Schizosaccharomyces pombe: one gene and its partner. The main gene of each other region encodes a partner of the protein of the gene in region 2 in a complex. Each region holds a gene or a part of one and is shown on either strand. Other genes may lie near its edges. The genes, in order: naa35 and naa30. A codon is read from its position in the direction of its gene.

Region 1 (8,109 bases), 1.1 Mb from region 2:
CCAGACTTTTGAGTTTTACCATATTCACATAATCCAATTGACAGACAAGTTTACTATAATAAAACAAATGTATATCTGTTTACAAACTATTGTTGTTAATTCCCTCCTTCAGGAAAAAATGTATCACTTCATAAAATGGTTGAACTTAGGTCTATGACTAAAAGATATTAACAGCAAACTAAGTAGTGCTATCTTGTTCTGAAGCATATTTTTACAAGTTTTATTATTCAATCTTTTAATCTCTTTCTCCCTTTTAACAATGTGCCTTGTATATTAGGATCAACCTAGATTGTTTAATATTTTCTAGTATTTTAACGAATTGCTTTTTTACTTTTTTCCATTTAACTTCCCCTTGTTTTTTAAGACTTTAGTGTTTATCTTGAAATTTACTTGACATTATACGCATGACATTTACCTAAGGAACCCAGCAAAAGCCTAGTCTTCGTCGGTTTTGACGAAATGAGTCAAATACAAGATTTAAAAGATGAGAATGTCGAAATGGATATTGATCCACAAGAACAAAACGAAAAAAAGCCTTTGCTTCTGGATGAATTGACCAAATTTACGATTTTACATCCCTATAATTATGATAGTCATATTAAACTCATTGAAGAGTTAAAGCGTCTAGATAAAAAGAAGGAGTTGTCAGAGGCTAGAAAGACTTTTCAATCGATCTTTCCACTTTCAGAAGGTATGTCAATCAACAATCGTCTAGGTAAAGCGTGTTGAGGCGAATTCCATAGACTCGCAAAAATTATTCACTAATTACTTTAACTTTGTTAATCTTTTGACAAGCATTTATTAATGGTTTTTAGATTTGTGGGTAGATTACCTTTTAGATGAGTGCAAAAACTGTAGGACTTTAGACGACTATGTGAGGATAAAAACATTGTTTGATTTGGCAGTTCAAGATTATCTGTCAATCAAAATTTGGTGTATGTATCTTGAATTTACGCTAAACTTAATGGACACTTCTTCTTTTGAACAAGAACAGTCTGAATTAAACGGCGTTATTACTTTGACAGATGCCCATTCTCTTTTTGAACGTGCATACCAAACTTGCAAATTTCATTTTTCTAAAGTAAGGAACTAAAAATTTTCTTCATGATAAAAATGTATTTACTAATCAATGTTTACAGAGTCAATGTGTTTGGACGTTATATTTGGAATTTTTACAGACGTTCGGTGATGCTCTATTTGAGGGAGAAGAAGAGCAAGAAATTGTTTTTAAAAACAAGATATATGATTTTCATATTGATAGATTAAAACTTCCACATGAGCAGATTGAAGAAACGTTTACTTCTTTATCAACGTTTGTCACAAATAACTGGTCTCCTTCCGAATATGAGGATGTTATGGTGAAAAGCAATAAAGTGTATGAGACTACACTTAAAAGAAATGCAAAAATTTTTAATAAAGAACTATTGTTAAACAGCGCAAATCATTCTCTCGAAGCGTATATGGATTTAATTAATGATGAATCGCGACGCTCAACAGCTGAGTTACAATATATAACAACTCTCTATGAGCGTGCCATAGTTTTGTATCCCCTCATTCCGGAACTCTGGTTGCAATACACTGCCTGGCTTAGTAAAGTGGATTTTTCTTCTTCTCAAGCGTCCAGTGTAGCAGAACGAGCTACTCGTAACTGTTCATGGATTGGGCGTATTTGGTCCATTAAACTGACTTATATGACGCTTTCTGGAGCATCCACATCGGCTGTCTGTGAAGAGAAAGATCGATGTTTGAATTCAAATTTGCTCGTAAATTTTGACGAGGTTATTGATTTTTTTAGCGGATTTTTAAAAGCATGCCTATATTTGTCTTCTAATGAAGATAAGCCACAGGAATTTTTGAAACATCAAATTCATAAAGTCGAAGACTATTTGCGAAAAAATCATAAGGGATCAAAGGATGCAAGAATGCGCATTGAACTTTCAAAAATTTATTTATATTCAGAAATCTCTGATTTTGAAAGCGTAGAAAAGTGCTGGTCTGATATGTTTCATGATTTTCAAAATCAGGCATTATATTGGATTTCTCGATACATAAGTACGATGAAGTATAACCCAGAGCTTGCGGCTGAGACGTTAAAAAAAAGCCTTTACAAAAACGTTGATCAGCCTCAACTTCTGTTCCAATTTTATCAATCCATTATGGACCTTAATAATGACTGTTTCACAAACACATCACATTTATATGACGTTTTAAATGCACAGAGGATTAGCTTCAAACGTCAATTGGATTCTTTTGCTGAAGAAACGAAGCAGACTGTCGAAAACACCGAACCACTAAAAGTGCCTCAAGCTGATGATACAGCCGCCCTTTCAAAGAAAAGAAAACCTGGGCAAGAAGGTGATGTGTTCAAAAAGTCGAAACCTATTGAGCAACACAGGAATAGGGAAGAACTTACAGTTTTGGTTACCAATCTACCTTCCGATATAAGCGAAAATGAGTTGAAAATTTTTTTCAAAGATTGTGGTAATATTATACGCATTTTTATCCTCGAAGACAATCAAAAGGATGTTAAAGTGGCTCAGATTGAATTTTCTGAAACCAGTGAAGTTCTTGCTGCTAAAACAAGAGACCTTAAATCGATAAGGGGTCATGAAATTTCTGTTCAAATTCATGTAGACACGAACCTCTACGTTACCAATTTTCCTCCGACTTATGATGAATTAGATATAACCAAATTATTTTCTGCATATGGTAATGTGGTTGACGTCCGTTTTCCTAGTCTAAGGTATAACACGAACAGGCGTTTTTGTTATGTACAAATGAGAAAGCCCGATGAGGCACACAATGCCCTGCAGTTACATAAGAAGCTATTGGAAGAGAAGTATCCTATTCAAGTCTTTATATCAGACCCGCTTCGGCGAACTCCTAGAAGCGGTGCTGTCTATGAGGGTAGAGAACTCTACGTTACAAATATTGATTTTAAAGTAAATGAAAAAGACGTAGAAACATTTTTTAGGGATTATGGGCAGGTTGAGAGTGTTCGAATACCGAAAAGATTTAATCAACATAAAGGTTTTGGATATGTGGTAATGACTACAAATCAAGATGCTGAAAATGCACTTTCTGCTGCTGGAAAGCAATTGGGAAATAGAGTTTTGAACGTTGTTTTGTCGAAGCCTCGAGAATCTCTAGAGAAAACAAGGGTATCATCCAATGACAACCGAACCTTAGCTAAAAGCTTTGAGACTACTGAGTCAAATAAAATGTCAACGCCAAAAAAATCATTCGAACAAATCAAAAGCAAAAGCCTAGGAGTCACTAATGTCGACGGGACTGTTAACGAGGCTAGACTTAGAAGTTTATTCGAAAGCTACGGAAAGTTGTATAGAGTTGTTCTTCATCCTGAACATGAAGGTGCTGTAGTAGAGTTTTTGGATATTCATGATGCGGGAAAGGCATCCTTGGCATTAGAAGGACATGAAATTGGTGGCAGGTTACTACACATTACCACTGTCAATGAAATGATGCACAATGTCCCATCTAGTATGAATCATTCCGATTACAATACCTCTGCTACACGCCCACGGCGACTCGGAAGCCGAACGTTTCAAGGTTTCAATTCCAATCATTCCAATATAAATTCTAAGAAGGACGATTTAGACGATAAAGAAATGCAGATAGATGCACCTAAAAGCAACGATGATTTTAGGAAAATGTTTTTAAAATAGTCAGCAATAATTAGATTGAATGATTAAAAAAATATTGAAAACCTAACTTTTGATAATTTTGATTTATTAACATAAAAGACGAACAACACCTCATGTACGTGAAAGACTTGGGAGCGGATTTCCAGGTATTTCCACTATTTTTAGATTAGCACTATGATCTTTGGATAAGATTGCAAGTGAAACCAGATTTGTAATGCAGCAACATAATAAATTTTTTAAATAGTTGGTTTGCAAGAAATACGGGTTGATGAACTCATTCTGTTCAAAACCGGATTTTATAACATTAATAAGGCTATTCTTTGCAGCAGTGAATTTTTCATTAGATTTGATGATTAAATCATCCGTAGAGAAATTTTGAAGATTTTTGATTATGCAATCAGCTTCCGAACGAAGTAGTGGCTTGGGTTGACGCAAATTAATTAAAGGACGATAATGGGCCATGTAATATGACTCTTGAATTTTTTCATCAAGAGTAAATGAAGGAGTTTTAATGATATTCAACCGCATACAAAGCACCGTCAGCTAAAATCGTTAGAATAAAAAAGAAGCGATAAGCTTTATACATACTAGTAAATAGCCAGAATAGGTCTCCTTTATAGCATTCAATATTCGATGCAAATATGTAACAAAGGTTTTGGCCATAGGTGGGGTATTACGATCCTTTCCATGAAGCTCTAAATGAGTCTGGTGGATAGAAAAGACATGATCAAGCACAGCAAAAAAATGGGGCCATTGATATGGTTGGTGAAGTTTTTGTTCAAAGGAAGAAAGCAAGATATGCTCAATTGCATTTAGCTTAACATGGTAAATAAATGATGAAAACGGTCCATTACTTGGTAGGCTTTTTGCTACGAATTTCAAATCAAGCGCTTCAGCTTCAAAATGAGCAACGGTAATTTCAGGAAGTAAATTTATTAGATTACGGCGGAACCGACAGGGATTGTGGGAACAAATTCGGACAAGGTCAACCATGATATTAGTTGAATGAGCAATCAAAGACTCAACTAGCGGACCATAGGCTGATGAGATAGAGTTTTTTTCGATTACTGTACGGGTGTTAGGATTATAAAAATTTGAAGGAAGCCCAGAAAACTCACGAATACATTCTAACATATACGAAGTAGGTTGATCCCTTAGATTAACTGCATTGTTAGCAGTGATAAGTGCTTGAAGGGAGGAACGGACGTAAGGCTCTGGAGTACGATTCAATCTCGTAAAATCTAAACAAAACTGATATACTGCCAAGGAAGAAGCGAGAGTGTGGCTATTCAAAATCAAAAGCATATCATCAGCAAAATACAAAATTCGTTGATAAGAATGCTCAATGCCAGTAGGAGGAATATTCCTCACAGGAGCTGTAGCAACTAATTGGGCTTGGACGCGAAAATCCCAATATTGCTTTAATATGCTCTCCTTGATAGATGAATCAACTACCGAAACCGTGTTCTGAATCTCGGGTACCAAATTTTTGATCAGATGGAGAGCATCGATGGTGGTCTTAATATCACTCCTTTCATACACTCGTAAAATACCAATTCGAAGTTGTATTCTATTGAGAATTCCCTCGATAATTTGTCGTAACTCGGCAGAAAATTTTATAACCTCGGAAGCCAAATATTCGATGCTAGATTGCAAAAGATAATTGAGTTTTTCTATGGGGTAATTTTGAAGAAAGGACATGTGATATGAAAACGAACTAATGTCTTCCTCGTCATATAAATTTCCCATCAGAAATTCTCGATGAACAATATCGCAACATTTAATAACAGCCAAAACAAAAGGGAAAAGAACGATGTCAGTTGTATTCCTTCCGCTACCACTGGAGAAGCCACTGTCACCCACTTGTGAAATAGGCGACTTGCAAATGGAGAACACATGGGCACTACAGAGTAAGCTCTCTGATAAGGGGGATCCATAATGCCACTCTTTTTCCGCAGAGACAATTAAATCCATTAACGCTAATATTTCCAAGTAAGAGAGATCACGTGAAAAATCTACACGAAGTGGCTGATAATCAATCCCACTATCCATTTTCGGTTCCATAATTTCAAAGGCACTGATTGAATCCAATAATGTAAATTTTGGATCACATACTAGCTGTTCCTCTTTCAGAGATTTCGTGGCTTCAAAGTAAGACTTTGTACAGTCGACATATCCAGCGTTATCAACATAACCTTCGTTCCCTTTGGCCGGTTCCACATTTCCAATCTTCACATTTCCTTGCATAGAATTAAGCAATGATAGGGACTCTTTAACAGACATAAAATCGACAAAACACCCCTATATTGACCAATTTTCTATTGAACGTCTAGTTTATGGGTTAATGAAAAGTGTTACTCTGTAAGTCACAACAAAAATTCCACGCATAAAAATGCTTGTTCAATAACATTTTCGAGAGTAAATAAGATGGTAATTTTTTCAATAATAATAAAAACAATGATAAATCCAATTTGAAATTATTTTACTTGTATCTGCAAAGGTAAAAAACTATCTCGATGGTAACCCATCTCACCTAGCAGTAGAATATCTAAAAACTTTTTATAAAATAAAGAGAAGGAAAACAAAATAAATACTTTAAACAATTATGCTTTTTTGAACATGAGAATTTTGTAACTTTGAAATTGCACCAGTTCGTGGAACGTGCAGTCGCAAAGTGTACTGCATAAATAGATACATGCATGGAAGAATCGTGATTTCAGTCAAACACTGCATTCATAATCTTTCTCTTTAAATTTTCGAGTTCTAAATTTTTTTCTTTTAGGGCCGCATTCAGTTTGGCAATTTCTAATTTTAATGAGGAAACAGTGTCTAAAGGCTCCATTGAATTTGAATGAGATATAGGGACATCGGGAATCATCTGAGCTTCTGCTAATGAGTGCATACTCGGCGCTTTTTCCAAATTGAATGCATGACATATAGTAGCTGTTAATGGTCCTTGATGAACGGTCCAAATTAAGCGATCGGTACTGGCTTCAAGGATTTCGGAATGAGAAGAGACCAGGGCTAAAAGAGTACTTGAGATGAACTTAAAATTGGGAGTTTTGGGGATCGGCGAAGTTTCGGAGGGAGGAAGATATTGGGATATCGTTTCAGTATAGTGTGATAAAAGTTGAGAAACCGTTTCCATGGGCAGACGAGCAACATGTGAAAATGCAGAGCGAAGCATTGTATTTTGAGCATGCATCAACTTTTCAAATCTTTCATACCAAGAGATACTTAGCGTTAATGACACAGATGGTTCAGATCTCAGCCGTTTAATTTTGTTACGAGCTCCTGGCGGACGCCCGCGTTTACGAGGGACTCCTGCTTCATTTTCAACATTTTCCGTTTCTACTTGATTGGTTTGTCGAGACCAAGAATCATTCAACCCGTCACTTTCTTTGGGTGAAGAAACGTCTCGTAAATCATCAGGCCATTGATGCCAGTCAGGATCAATGGAATCAGCAACGCCAACTGCTTCAGCAGTTTGAAAAGCGTGATCATGGTTATGTGAATTGTTGGCTGCGGAAGGTAACTGATGGTCTTCGTCAGGTGGTTCAAACATATTTGGAGGATGTGGGAGAGAATGGTTTTGAGGAGTTGTCTGATGTGCTTGTTGAGAACCTCGTTCAGACATGTGATGGGACGCTCTCATTAAAAGGGATTGAGGGGTAGGGCATTCTTGGGAATCTGCATGAGGGTTTGTGACAAAGCTACCAAGATTGTGAGTGTTGTCGTCTAAACTAGCACTAGCTGAATGAATCCAGTTAGAAGGGGAGGTTGACGTGCGCATTGTGGAGATGGAGGAAGAGTTAACATCTGGATGAGACATTAAGCCTGCACGTAAAGATTTAATAACCAAATCATCAGTTACATTTACATTGCATCGAACTTGAGGTTGGGTTTCAGGAATTTCGAGATAATAAGGATTTGGTTTATTCAGGAGATAATCGAAAAAAGCATCAACATGTGTTTGACTCATCCACCGTTTTAAACGAACAACATACTGTTGTATTTTTTGAGTAGATTGTTCATCTTTTCGTTCCACACCAAGAAAACCCACCAGCTTGGACCAAGAGTTAATTATTTTTTGGTGGTATTGCCGGACAAGGAGAAATAAGACCCAAATCTCAAATTTTTGACCCTCTGATTTAGGAATCATATTGAATGCATTTGCTAATTGCCTCGTGTCAGCACCTGCATACCAGGGATTGCAGCAAAGACAGAATTGGCAGAACTTTTCAGTAATATTATCCGCGCTAACATCATGTCTAGATGGCAACAAGGAATAAAAGTTCATCCTTGATTAATTGCTTTAAAAAACAATAAAAAATGTAAAAAGACAGATAGATAAACGTTGGATTATTAAGTAAACACGACAGAAAGACACAAGCAATGTCGAATAAAGAGATTAACAGTATATAAATATCAGAAAAGATCCAGG
Region 2 (3,461 bases):
TTTTAATAAATTACTTGCTATGTTTATTATTATTTTGCTCTGATGTCTTGCTTTTGCTATAAAGTCATTTCATGTAAAATTCGTTGTATAAGTAATTTATCACACTATTCATTCGTAGCTGCTGACAATTTTCGCTATAAAACCATGTCAGTGTTATACGAAATGACTGCATATAGTGCAAACACAGTGTTGTGCTAATTTCATACTAAAAAAATTCATTATTAACACTTTTCGAAAGTATTTACCTGTGAGACCTAAATTGAGGCTTTTAGAAGTATTTCTCAAAGTATTCAACTCGAAAAGATTAATTATATGACCATTATTTAAAAAAGGTGTAAGAATGGACTTTGAAATTGAAAACGAGTCGGAAATTCCACAGCTGGTTGACGTTGAAGAGGTTAACACACAACCGCATTCGGAAACATTAAGCGTACCTACGGTTTCGTCCAATAATGATATTGATTCATTTGAGCAGCAATCAGATTTTCTTCTAGTTGATCATGACTCTACCTTGGACCCAGTCCCTGTCACAATACTGACGGGCTTTTTGGGTGCCGGTAAAACTTCTTTGCTACGGTCAATTCTTGAAAATCGAAATGGTAAAAGGGTTGCTGTATTAATGAATGAGGTGGGTGATTCGGGAGACCTTGAAAGGAGCTTAATGGAGGATGTTGGAGGAGAAGAACTTTATGAAGAGTGGGTGGCTCTTTCAAATGGGTGCATGTGTTGCACTGTGAAAGACAATGGGATTAAAGCTTTGGAAAAAATTATGAGGCAAAAGGGGAGATTTGATAACATTGTAATTGAAACAACGGGTATAGCCAATCCTGGTCCTCTTGCTCAAACATTTTGGTTGGACGACGCGTTGAAAAGCGATGTCAAGTTAGATGGCATCGTTACTGTTATTGATTGTAAAAATATAGATAATATCTTAAAGGATGAAAGTGATATTGGTTTTATTCAAATTTCACATGCTGATTGTTTGATCTTAAACAAAACAGATCTTATTTCTTCTGAAGCATTATCTGTGGTACGTCAAACTATATTGAAGATCAATTGCTTAGCGAAGATTATTGAAACAACATATGGACGGTTGGATGACATTTCTGAAATTTTGGACTTGGATGCATACGGCAACGAAAATACTTCTAATCTTGAGTGGTCGATTCAAAGGAGCAATGATAGCAATATTAATTGTTCTACTTGTTTGGACGTGGATTGCCAACATTTGCATTCTCTCGATACGCATAGCCTTGATATCTCAACTCATACTTTTAAACTGCCCCCACTAATGTCGAAAGAGGTTTTTCAGCAATTTCTACAATGGGTTCGTCATACACTTTGGTCTTGTTTGGAGGAAGGGGAAGACGAGGAGTTTATGATTTATCGAAGTAAAGGAATTTTTAATAAAGACGATGGCTCTTGGTACATCTTTCAGGGTGTTCGCGAAGTATTCGAAATTATGCCGCTGTCGGAGAAGCCTCGAGCATTTTTAGAAAAGGATATCCATCCCGAAATTATCCTAATTGGGCGTAATCTACATCGAATATCTCCTTTCGTCGTCGGAAACCAATAATGGCAGTTATTTTATATTTCATTTTAATAATGTATATTGATATATGTTTGTTGAATTAATTTTAAATGTACGCAATAAAAAGCTTTTATACTAAATTATTTTATATAACACTCAATATTATAAATGTCATATCATTGACATAGATGTAACAAATCCAAGCAAAAAAGCCAAATTATAAACTTAATTTATACTGGCCTACTCGTTTATTCATTGTTTATAATACTCAGTTTAAGAACCGCATATAACGTTTTAACGCTATATCTGTAATTTCGACATTCGTCTTAAAGCTGTTGATATATACAGCTCTGCAACCGTTACAGACCCTAAATTATATCTAGAAGAGAATGGTGACAATTGTCCCATACAGTCACCAATATTTAAAAGATATATGTCAGCTTATTCAAAAAGATTTGAGTGAGCCATATAGTAAATATGTGTATCGTTATTTTGTGCACCAATGGTATGTTCCCATTTCATTGATTTCTCAAACTGCTTCTTGCATATTATGAAACTCGGCAATATCATTATAGTTTACTGACAGATTAAAGGCCAGAATTCAGTTTTGTTGCTTTAGATAATGATCGATTTATTGGAGCTGTAATATGCAAACAAGATGTTCATAGAGGGACGACGCTTAGAGGTTATATAGCAATGCTGGCCATAGTAAAAGAATACAGGGGACAAGGAATCGCTACTAAATTGACTCAAGCTAGTCTGGATGTAATGAAAAATAGAGGTGCCCAGGAAATTGTTTTGGAAACAGAGGTGGATAATGAGGCAGCCATGTCTTTTTATGAAAGACTCGGGTTTTGTCGCTATAAACGTCTTTATCGTTATTATTTGAACGGCACTGATGCATTTCGATACATCTTGTACCCGAATTGAAAAACAATGCTACAAAATAAAATCGCGGCATTTTCTATGCTCTAAGAAAATTTGTTTCCACTTGTCGCAGTATAAGTGAAAGTTTTAAAGTTGTTCCAATCTATTTATTTTTTTTTATTTTTTTTCTTCTACTGATTAATACCATAAGTAATTGTCATTAGTCGTCACTGTAGCGTAACTCCGTAATTATAACTGTAATAAACAGTGTTTACATTGATTCAAAGAAATTGTACGGATGTTCATAAAAATAATATCATTCCATTAAATGTAAACTTCATTAATAGTAAAACATAAAGTCTACAGCTGAATAAATAAAGAAGCTTCAACGTAAACTGCTAACTCTCCAAACAAACAATCACCATTCATTAAAAGAAATTAGTAAAAATACAATCATTACATGCATTAGTGGCTCAAATTGCCTTGCTAGCAAATTGTTAACACTTCTTATAAACATTGTCCTTCATTTTGTATGACAGAAAAATAAACCATTAAGCCATTGAGACTTGCTTGGTTGTTTCAAGAACTGACTCTCAATTTCATTAACGAAGATCCCTTCTAGGTGCTTCCGTATTAAATTGTTCGTAAAAGCTGATGCGAGAAAGTTCTGGTTTATTTTGAATTAGAGGGCTTATTTTACGTGATTGTACCAAAGAAGCGACAGACTCATAAGGCGGGTTGTCCTGGAAAACAGCGTAACTACAGACGTACCCAACGCCTTCAACGTTTATAGTATGTTCTCTGAAGAAATCCACAATATCTTGACTGCAGGAAGGAAAAGTGAAAAACAACAATACGGGTGTCAGCAAAATTCCAAGAATCTCCCAAAGAAGATTAACTATGCGATATGAATATAGAGAACAGAACTCTTGTTGAACAGCTTTACTATGCATGTTATCAGACCACCATCCTGGCATGTAATGTGTAAAAGTGATTACGCGCCTTAAAGCTTTTTCCGGAGCAAAAACCAAAGTTTCATCAGGTATTATTGAGCGCGAAACTG

The links.
Region 1: the proteins of naa30 (region 2) and naa35 are in contact, whole or in part, in a cryo-EM structure (PDB 7L1K), measured with the Schizosaccharomyces pombe proteins. Residues at the interface, in NP_596246.1 of Schizosaccharomyces pombe: His9 (codon at 1,945), Leu12 (codon at 1,954), Gln20 (codon at 1,978), Leu23 (codon at 1,987), Pro26 (codon at 1,996), Tyr27 (codon at 1,999), Ser28 (codon at 2,002), Lys29 (codon at 2,005), Tyr30 (codon at 2,008), Val31 (codon at 2,011), Arg33 (codon at 2,017), Tyr34 (codon at 2,020), His37 (codon at 2,029), Glu122 (codon at 2,372), Arg123 (codon at 2,375), Gly125 (codon at 2,381), Phe126 (codon at 2,384), Cys127 (codon at 2,387), Arg128 (codon at 2,390), Tyr129 (codon at 2,393), Lys130 (codon at 2,396), Arg131 (codon at 2,399), Leu132 (codon at 2,402), Tyr133 (codon at 2,405), Arg134 (codon at 2,408), Tyr136 (codon at 2,414), Leu137 (codon at 2,417), Asn138 (codon at 2,420), Gly139 (codon at 2,423), Phe143 (codon at 2,435); in NP_596720.1 of Schizosaccharomyces pombe: Glu53 (codon at 5,792), Glu54 (codon at 5,789), Leu56 (codon at 5,783), Leu64 (codon at 5,759), Leu65 (codon at 5,756), Ser67 (codon at 5,750), Ile68 (codon at 5,747), Ala70 (codon at 5,741), Glu72 (codon at 5,735), Glu75 (codon at 5,726), Pro76 (codon at 5,723), Lys77 (codon at 5,720), Met78 (codon at 5,717), Tyr116 (codon at 5,603), Gly117 (codon at 5,600), Ser118 (codon at 5,597), Glu185 (codon at 5,396), Glu186 (codon at 5,393), Asp187 (codon at 5,390), Pro304 (codon at 5,039), Val305 (codon at 5,036), Arg306 (codon at 5,033), Asn307 (codon at 5,030), Ile308 (codon at 5,027), Pro309 (codon at 5,024), Asn441 (codon at 4,628), Cys443 (codon at 4,622), Arg446 (codon at 4,613), Arg447 (codon at 4,610), Gln503 (codon at 4,442).

Annotation. Positions count from the first base shown.
Region 1 is NC_003423.3:4,131,558-4,139,666, reverse strand, and holds naa35 (NatC N-acetyltransferase complex subunit Mak10), read right to left. Parts: upstream 6,009-8,109; 5' UTR 5,949-6,008; coding exon 4,254-5,948; intron 4,209-4,253; coding exon 3,777-4,208; 3' UTR 3,687-3,776; coding exon of another isoform or gene 1,140-3,686; 3' UTR 1,082-1,139; downstream 1-1,081. Other genes in the region: RNA-binding protein Prp24, read left to right, coding at 460-691, 816-1,081, 1,140-3,686; ARS-binding protein Abp2, read right to left, coding at 6,382-7,965. UniProt on the Schizosaccharomyces pombe protein: Component of the NatC N-terminal acetyltransferase.
Region 2 is NC_003423.3:3,020,513-3,023,973, forward strand, and holds naa30 (NatC N-acetyltransferase complex catalytic subunit Naa30), read left to right. Parts: upstream 1-1,885; 5' UTR 1,886-1,920; coding exon 1,921-2,036; intron 2,037-2,124; coding exon 2,125-2,461; 3' UTR 2,462-2,618; downstream 2,619-3,461. Other genes in the region: zng1 (nucleotide-binding domain-containing protein CobW/HypB/UreG), read left to right, coding at 341-1,576; autophagy-associated protein Atg9, read right to left, coding at 3,001-3,461. UniProt on the Schizosaccharomyces pombe protein: Catalytic component of the NatC N-terminal acetyltransferase.